Linked DNA regions of Diceros bicornis minor. The protein of the gene in region 1 binds, or shares a complex with, the protein of each later gene. Links are inferred from orthologs where the notes say so. Each region holds a gene or a part of one and is shown on either strand. Other genes may lie near its edges.

Evidence for each region.
Region 2: the proteins of ANXA11 (region 1) and TARDBP are in contact, whole or in part, in a cryo-EM structure (PDB 9FOR), measured with the Homo sapiens proteins. The link is inferred for Diceros bicornis minor from reciprocal best matches to the Homo sapiens genes ANXA11 and TARDBP. Residues at the interface, in NP_001148.1 of Homo sapiens: Gly56, Met57, Ala59, Met61, Ser62, Gly63, Phe65, Asn69, Pro71, Asn72, Leu73; in NP_031401.1 of Homo sapiens: Ala328, Leu330, Ser332, Trp334, Gly335, Met337, Gly338, Met339, Ala341, Ser342, Gln343.

What each region holds. Positions count from the first base shown.
Region 1 is NC_080745.1:27,750,494-27,754,404, forward strand, and holds the start of ANXA11 (annexin A11), read right to left. Parts: upstream 2,809-3,911; 5' UTR 2,602-2,808; intron 1-2,601. UniProt on the Homo sapiens protein: Binds specifically to calcyclin in a calcium-dependent manner. Required for midbody formation and completion of the terminal phase of cytokinesis.
Region 2 is NC_080752.1:30,290,154-30,294,064, forward strand, and holds the start of TARDBP (TAR DNA-binding protein 43), read left to right. Parts: upstream 1-1,073; 5' UTR 1,074-1,177; intron 1,178-2,145; 5' UTR 2,146-2,159; coding exon 2,160-2,397; intron 2,398-3,911. UniProt on the Homo sapiens protein: RNA-binding protein that is involved in various steps of RNA biogenesis and processing.

The DNA.
Region 1 (3,911 bases):
AGGTATCACTCAAATTCCTGGTGTTCTAGGGGCAATGGCATCAGAGGGTGTTGAAGAGAAAAATGCAGAGAGACCTGAGTCTGTTTGCTTGGCTGTAATTGTGAAACACACACAGGCTCTCCCCTGAGTACCCCCAAAGGACCAAGTCCCAGGAACTGTTTCAGGCTTATGGGGGGAAGATGGCAGCTAAGAGGGAGGAAGAAGGAGGTGATTCCAGGAGAAGAGGGAGCTCCACAAAGGTCCTGGGCCCTCCAAACATCCTCCAGCACTGGGCGTGGATTTCATTTCTACATTCACCTCCTGCATGCACCAGCTTTTTTTTCTCTGTTCTGCAGTGAATTCCCGAGAAGAACCCCCACTAACCTATTCTGGCTCAATTCTCACTCCTATCATCCCAAACTACCCATCCTTCCCCAAATCATGTGACCAAGGCATCTCCAATCCATCTTGGCCTTCTAGGTACAGCAATCAAGATGGGGCCCACGGATCATCCTTGCCCTGGCTACATAAAGGAATCAAAGGGAACTCCACCTTGGCCTCTCAGCCAGTGCCTTCTCCCACTTATCAGTCTGGAATAATTTTTATCTCACTCTCCCCACTTTTTTTTTTTTTGCCTATCCAAACCCAGCCTTCAAGGTCTAATATTTTAACAACAGGGAAATCTTACTTCCCTGGCCTGGCTCTTTCACTCAACTAACATCTTCTGAGCACCTACATGAGGCAAGGCCCATCCTGGGTGCTGTGAGACCTAGAGATGAGTAAGAAACAGCCCCCACTCTCCAGAGACAAAGAACAGGGCAGAGATAAGAAATGTGGCCATACAAATACTACACAAGGAGAGAGCGTCAGTGCCAAAGGAATGGAGGAGGAGGGCTGCGTGGGCTCAGAGCATGTCTTGTCCCTTCCTGCTGGGAGCAGGCACCTCGGTGGCTCCCATGAGGGCGGTGATTAATAGGCAGAAATGGGGGAAGGAGGGCATTTCAGCATGAGCTAAGACAGAGGGACAGGTCAGAAGGGGAGCAGTTCAACTCAGCCAGATCTTCAGCTGCATGAAGGGAGTGGTAGCTATTATTACTATATTATTATTGTTGATACTCACAGATGATTACTTATGCACCAGGCCCTGCTGTAAGCTTTATGTCTAATGTGAGTGACATCTACCTGGGACACACAGGTATGGTGTACCAGTCACCACCTGTTCTGACTGCTCTTTAGTGTCTGAGCTGTAAAGCTGTTAAATATAGTAACGCACTGAATCCTCACAATAACGCTGGGAGGCAGATATTGTTAGTACCCCCATTGTCAAGATGAGGAAACCAAGGCACAGAGACTGGTAAGAGACGAGAGTAGGGAGGGATGCAGGAGCCCGACGTAGTGAGCACCCGATGCCCAGGGCAACAAACTGCCCTGGCACCTCAGCTGGCCTCTCTTGTCAGGGAACTCCTTGTAGCACAGCGAGTGCCCTGAGGCAAGAGCCCATGTTAATCCTCCTGGAATCCCCAACAATGGACTGAAGCAAGGAAGCAATGAAGGAACATAAGGAAAGCCAGGTACCCGTGAGCAAGGTAACACACCCTGCCTGTCCAGCTCGTGGGCTCAGCCTGGCCCTGGCCTGCAAGCTTTGGTTCCTGTTACGTGGGCAGGGCAGAGGTTCACCCCTCACAGCACCACTCCATGCCCAAGGGCAGCAGAGAGCAAAGCAAAGGCTGGGAGGGAGGGCAGAGTGGCTGGCTACCATGGATACCTAGAGTCTGTCCTAAAATACGCCATCTCCATAGAAAGGTCACTGATTAGAGGGGCAGGGACAGAAACGTCCAGGGCAGACTGTTCCTAGCTTGGGCTAGCTCTAGCTAGCTTAACTCCTCTCCAAAGTGTCTAGATGACAAACTTCACAACTCTCCTTTAAGCCAATATGGATTTCTGCCTTTTTAAGCCTTCAGAGGGTTGGGCTGAGAGCCCAGGGGGAGACAAAAGTCCAAGAATCCTTCCCTGAAATTGTAGTTCAAGGCTGAAGAAGGGGGAAAGGCAGAGACGGTAAACACACAGGTGAACACAGCACCAGGGATGGATCCTGCATTCTCTCAAATAAGGTGCCTTACAAATCAACTCCAACACTAGCAGCTCCCAGGAATTTGCGTCCTCCCAGTTCCAGAGGAAGGTTCCTGAAGGCAGCCTCCTCTATTATCTCTCCTCAGCACAAGCCTTTCCCAGAAGGGCGCGCACACTCTCGAGAACTCAGCTGGGTCGGAGGGCCAGGGGCCACCGGCCACCCCCCACACCAGCCAGTCGCCTTCTGCTCGCTTGTTCACCTGGTCCCAAGCCGGCCCGGGCCGCGCTGGACAATCACGTGGCCGTGGACCCCGGGGCCCGGCCTGCGCACCGCCCACCCCACAGGGAGGGCAGCCCCCGCCGCTGGTCTAGCTAGGCAGCCAGGCCGACGCCCGTCCGGGACCAGCGCGACACCCGTCCCCGCCCCCATGCCGTGCAACCAGGAAGCCGCCGGGAGGGGGCGCGGGGCCGTCCGGGCCTCATCTGCGGGGGTCGCGGCGCCCTGCCGCCGTCCCGTCCCGTGCCCCCGGCCGGCTGGGGACCCTCACTCACCTGGCCACTGGACACGGGGGCTGGGGGCCGCGAGGGACGGACGAGGACGCGGGCGGCAGCGGCTCTCTCTGCGGGCGTTCGGGGTGCGGCGCCTTGGGTCGGCCTCGCGCTCTGTCCCACTCCCGTCCTCGGGGCGCTCGGGGCACTCGGGACGCTCCGGACCCGCGGGCGCCGCAGCCGTCAGAGCGGGGCGGGTGGAGGAGCCCGCTGGCCGGAAAACTCGGCGGGCGCGCCCGCTCTAGGCTCCCCGGGGCGGGGCGGGGCGGGGCTGGCCGTGGCCCCGCCCCCAGGTGAGAGCCGGCCCGGGCCAGTGGGCGGGGACCAGCCTCCGCGAGGCGGGGCAAGGAAGCTGCCCGTCTTCCGGCTCCCGCGGCCGGACGGAGGAGGACGCCGCGGAGCCCATACGCCACCCGCCTCTCGCGACCGGTCCCGCCCTGCACCGCGCTAGGGGGAGGAATTCCCCAAGCCCTTTCCGTCCCCTGTACCATTGTTAGTGACTCTTTAAGGTAAAGAAAACTTGCTGCATTAAAAAAAGTCACACAGTGTGGAAATGGGGGTGGGGGTGGGAAGAGTAGCTTTACAGTAGAGAAACCGGACAAACCACCTCAGCCAGGTGATCAAGGTCAACGTGGAATGATAAATCCACAGTGATAGTGTGTCCCCCGTTGTGGTCGTCCTCCCAAGAATACATAATTCCCGTCTGATCGTGAGAAAAACATGAGAGAAATCCCAGTTGAGGGGTATTCTGCAAAATTCCTGACCAGTACTCCTCAAAACTGTCAAGGTCATCAAAAACGAGGAAAATCTGAGACACATACTGTCACAGCCAAGAGAAGCCGAAGGAGATATAAAAATTAAATGTAACGCGGTATCCTGGTGAAAGGACATTAGGTAAAAACTAAGGAAATCTGAATAAAGTATGGATATTAGTTAATAATAATGCATCAGTATTGGCTCATTCATTGTAGCAAAAGCACCATGCTGATATAAGATGTTAATAACAGCAGAAACCAGGGTTTATGAGAACTCTGATTCGCAATTGTTCTGTAAATCTAAAACTATTCTAAAAAATAAAGTTTATTTTTTAAAAAAAGGTCATTCACGTAATATATGAATATATGGTAGTTATAAAAATATATGAATATATGGTAGTTATAAAAGATTTTTTTAAAACTGAGACTGACTTCACTTCCCTAACCCACTTTTAGGTGTGCCCTTCCAGATCTTTCTCTCTACAACACACTCTGTTTGTTGTGTATAGTATATCCATGTAGATGTATTGTTTACAAAACAGTGTTGCAGTTATTTTC
Region 2 (3,911 bases), on another chromosome or scaffold:
CAAAGCCAGACGGCCTGGGTTCAAATCCCAGCTCCACCATCTACTAGTCCTGTGAGTTTGGGCAGGGTTACTTAACCTCTGTGCCTCAGTTTCCTTATCTATAACACAGGAATGACAACAATGGCACCTACCTTACAGGGCTGATGTGAGGATTAAATGAGTTAATGCATAAATATAGAGCACTTTGCTATTACTGCATTTCATTGAATCTGATACACTGACACACTAAAAAATTGATTGTCGCCAATTAAACTAGGTCATATCACCAACAGCACTGGAACTGAAATCACTGAAATTCAGAAATGTGAAACAAAAGGCGTGTCTTAAAATAGATGAAGTACACCATTATTATTACAGCCTGGAGCTGGACTATGCTAGCATTAGGGTTAGGGTTCAAATCCCAGGTCCACTGACTACTTGAGCGACCTTATGCAAGATAACCTCTCTGGGCCTCAGTTTTCTTCTCACGTGTACATGCGGATGGTATGATCAGTACTACACACAAGACTGTCGGGGCAACTAAATATGTGAATACTTAGCACCTGGTACATAGTAGGCGCTATCATTGCTATTATTTAGAACAAAGTTATTCTTTCCAGGCGTGGAGGTTAGCTAGGAGAGGGAGGAAAGGTCGCACGACTCCGGCTTTTTACACAAAGGGTCCTGGCCTCCCCTGCTCCCCCAAGCCGTGACGTCAGGAAGACCCGGGAGCCCCGCGCCTCGCCCCCGCCTAGCCCCGCCTCACTCGCCCTAGCCCTGCCCCGATCTAGTCTCGCGCACTTTCAAAGTACGCGAGCTCCGGCCGAGACCCGGGGCCGGCAGTTGGTCGGGCGAAACCATCTGTTAAGCTACGTGGGGGGAGTTAAAAGCCTACGCACCCACATTGTTTCAATTTTTAGCTTTTCAGGCCCAGGCGCTGGTGTTATGTTAGCCTTCTAACACGTGCTGTAGGCTCAGACTGCCGAGAAGGAGTCCTAACCTGCTAGGGAGAGGGTAGTTGTGTCTCCGTGCTACGCCCTCCCCCTCCTGACGGGGAGCCAGTGGGAGAGGACGACGGCCGGCGGGGGGAGGAGGCGGCCCTAGCGCCATTTTGTGGGAGCCAAGCGGTAGCTGGGCTGGTCTTGGATCCCTCGCTGCTTCGGTTTCCCTGTCGGGCTTCCCAGCAGCGGCCTAGCGGGTGAGTCGCGGACGCTTCTCACTGAGGACGCTCTGGGTGCCTTGGCTCCCTCCGTGGGACGGCCTGCGGCGGACGCGGCGGCTTCGGCCCCCGTCCCGGGAAGGAGCCGCGGGGCCGGACCTGCCTTGTCCTGGCCCGGCGGGCTCGCGCGGGAGCGTCCTTAGGGCCTTGCGCGGGGTCGTGCATCCCGAGGCGGAGGTCTGACCTGGCTCCCGGGGCCGAGCAGTGCTTTGTGCCTTCGGTACCGTGCAGTCGGGGGGACACTGCCAGCTCAGGCTTGTGCCCCTGCGGCCCCACCCGGGCCGCGCTTACAAACTCCTCCCTCGGCCGCCACGCATGGCTTTCTGGGAGGTGGCGCCCCGCGTCGCGAGGGACCTGTCGCCTTTGCTCAAGTTTGGAGAGGCCCGCGGAAGTCCCACAGGGAGGAACTTTTTCCCGGTTCCCTCCACCTGGCCCACTACTCCCGTTCAGTCCTCGAGACTCAGCTTCCGCGTCGCTTTCTTAGCGCAGACTGCTTTGACCCATACACACGTCTCCACCCACTTAGGTTCTCCCCGGTCCCCAAGAATATTACTTCTTTCTGGCAGCATACATCACGGTTTTAATAAAATCATTACTTGTTTGCTTTTTTTTTTTTTTTCCTTACCCTCGCCCCTGCTCCTCGTAACCAGCATGCTACCTGGGACTGACTTTTTTCACGGTCATAGTTGGAGTATCTGATGCATAGTAGGCACTCAGCAAATATTTTTTGAATGAATGAACTAGTAAGGCATCACATTTTAATAGGAATCGCCATCCTTCCCTTTGCTTCCTCGTTTTTCAGGGATAGGCAACACGTGTAAGAATCCAAACAAGAATTTTTCTGTAACTCATAGAACAATGACATGGTAGTGGTGTTAATTAGCTGATTATGAGGAAACAGTTATTTTGACACAAGTGTTGGTCATTCGTATCTCTTTCCCTTTAAGGAAAATAAGAAAAGATGTCTGAATATATTCGGGTAACCGAAGATGAGAATGACGAGCCCATTGAAATACCATCAGAAGACGATGGGACAGTGCTGCTGTCCACGGTGACAGCCCAGTTTCCGGGAGCATGTGGGCTGCGCTACAGGAACCCAGTGTCTCAATGTATGAGAGGTGTCCGGCTGGTGGAAGGAATTCTGCATGCCCCTGATGCTGGCTGGGGAAATCTGGTATACGTTGTCAATTATCCCAAAGGTTTGTTGCTGTTTGGTTTTGTAATAATTCTAAAGTACAGTCGAGTTTGTGTCTCATTGTAAGTTATAGATCGTGGCCTCTTTTCACGGTGAAACTTCTATAACCTACGTATTTCTTTAAATGTTACTATTAGACTAGTTTGGAAGACTGCTAGTTTAAATTAGTGAAAATTAGAAATTACAGATTTTTTTTTTTTTTTTGTGAGGAAGATCAGCCCTGAGCTGACATCCGATGCCAATCCTCCTATTTTTGCTGAGGAAGACGGCCCTGACCTAACATCCGTGCCTATCTTCCTCTACTTTATATGGGACGCCGTCAAAGCATGGCTTGACAAGTGGTGCTTTTCGGCCACGCCCGGGATCCGAACCTGCGAACCCCAGGCTACAGAAGCGGAGCACGTGCACTTAACCGTTACACCACCAGGCCGGCCCCCAGAACACTTTTTGAAGAGAAAACCACGTATTTAAATAATTATCTGAACAGACATTGCCAAATTTAAGGAATTACTAAGAATGCTTTGCAAGTATATCAGTCTGTTGTAAATAGATTCTTCTCAAGTGCCGCAGTGTTTTGGTTAGGTCTTTATCCTTGCAAGCTTACATCGGTCATTCAGCTAATCTGGCTTCTTCCCCCCCCCCCATTAAATGAGCATTAATTGCAGTGGCCCAAATCTTGTATTAGTGCAGTCTAAATTACAATATTGGGTTCTGGTCTTATTCTCACTGCCCCTTATCTCTGATGTTCTAAATCTAAGAAAAGAAAGCGTGAAGATTAAGACGTGTGCCAAGGAAATAGGTACATTTTAGCAGTAGAAATGTGTGCTAGTTAATATATCTCTGTGCTACTTTTGTTGTAACCTGATATTGCAACAAAGTCCATCATATATGGTCAATATGAAAGATATTGACTTATATGTCAAGAAAATTTTTAATAGAGTCAAATCAGTGTTTTTTTAGTATGCTGTTTCTTGAGCCATTGGGTACAGATTAATATTTACCCAAATATAAAATGCCATTTAGATAATGATGTGTCAATGTATGTTCATCAGTTGTGACAAATATAGCACCCTGTGGGGGACATTGATAAAGGGGGACACTATGCATGTGTGGAGGTAGAGGGTATATGAGAAAGCTCTATCTTCTGCAGTTTTTCTGTGAACCTAAAACTGCTCTAAAAAATAAAGTCTGTCTTTAAAAATGTCATTTAGTTTCTCCTCTTGCCTTCCAAATAATGGTTTTTAAAAACAACTTAAGGTCTTTTTTTAATTGCAAAATTAATGTGGGTTCATTGTTGAAAGTTTAGAAAAGAAACAGAAAATTGAAAACACCGTTAAATCCACAGCTGGAGATAAAAAGTTACTAATTGTTTTGGTATATGGCCTTTAAGTTACAGGCATTAAAATAATTACGCAAATAGATTTAATAGGCACCAAGATATTGTTACACTGTTTTTTAACCTTTTTTTCCCTCCTTAATGCATTTTGTGTGTGTGAGTGAGAGAGGAAGATCAGCCCT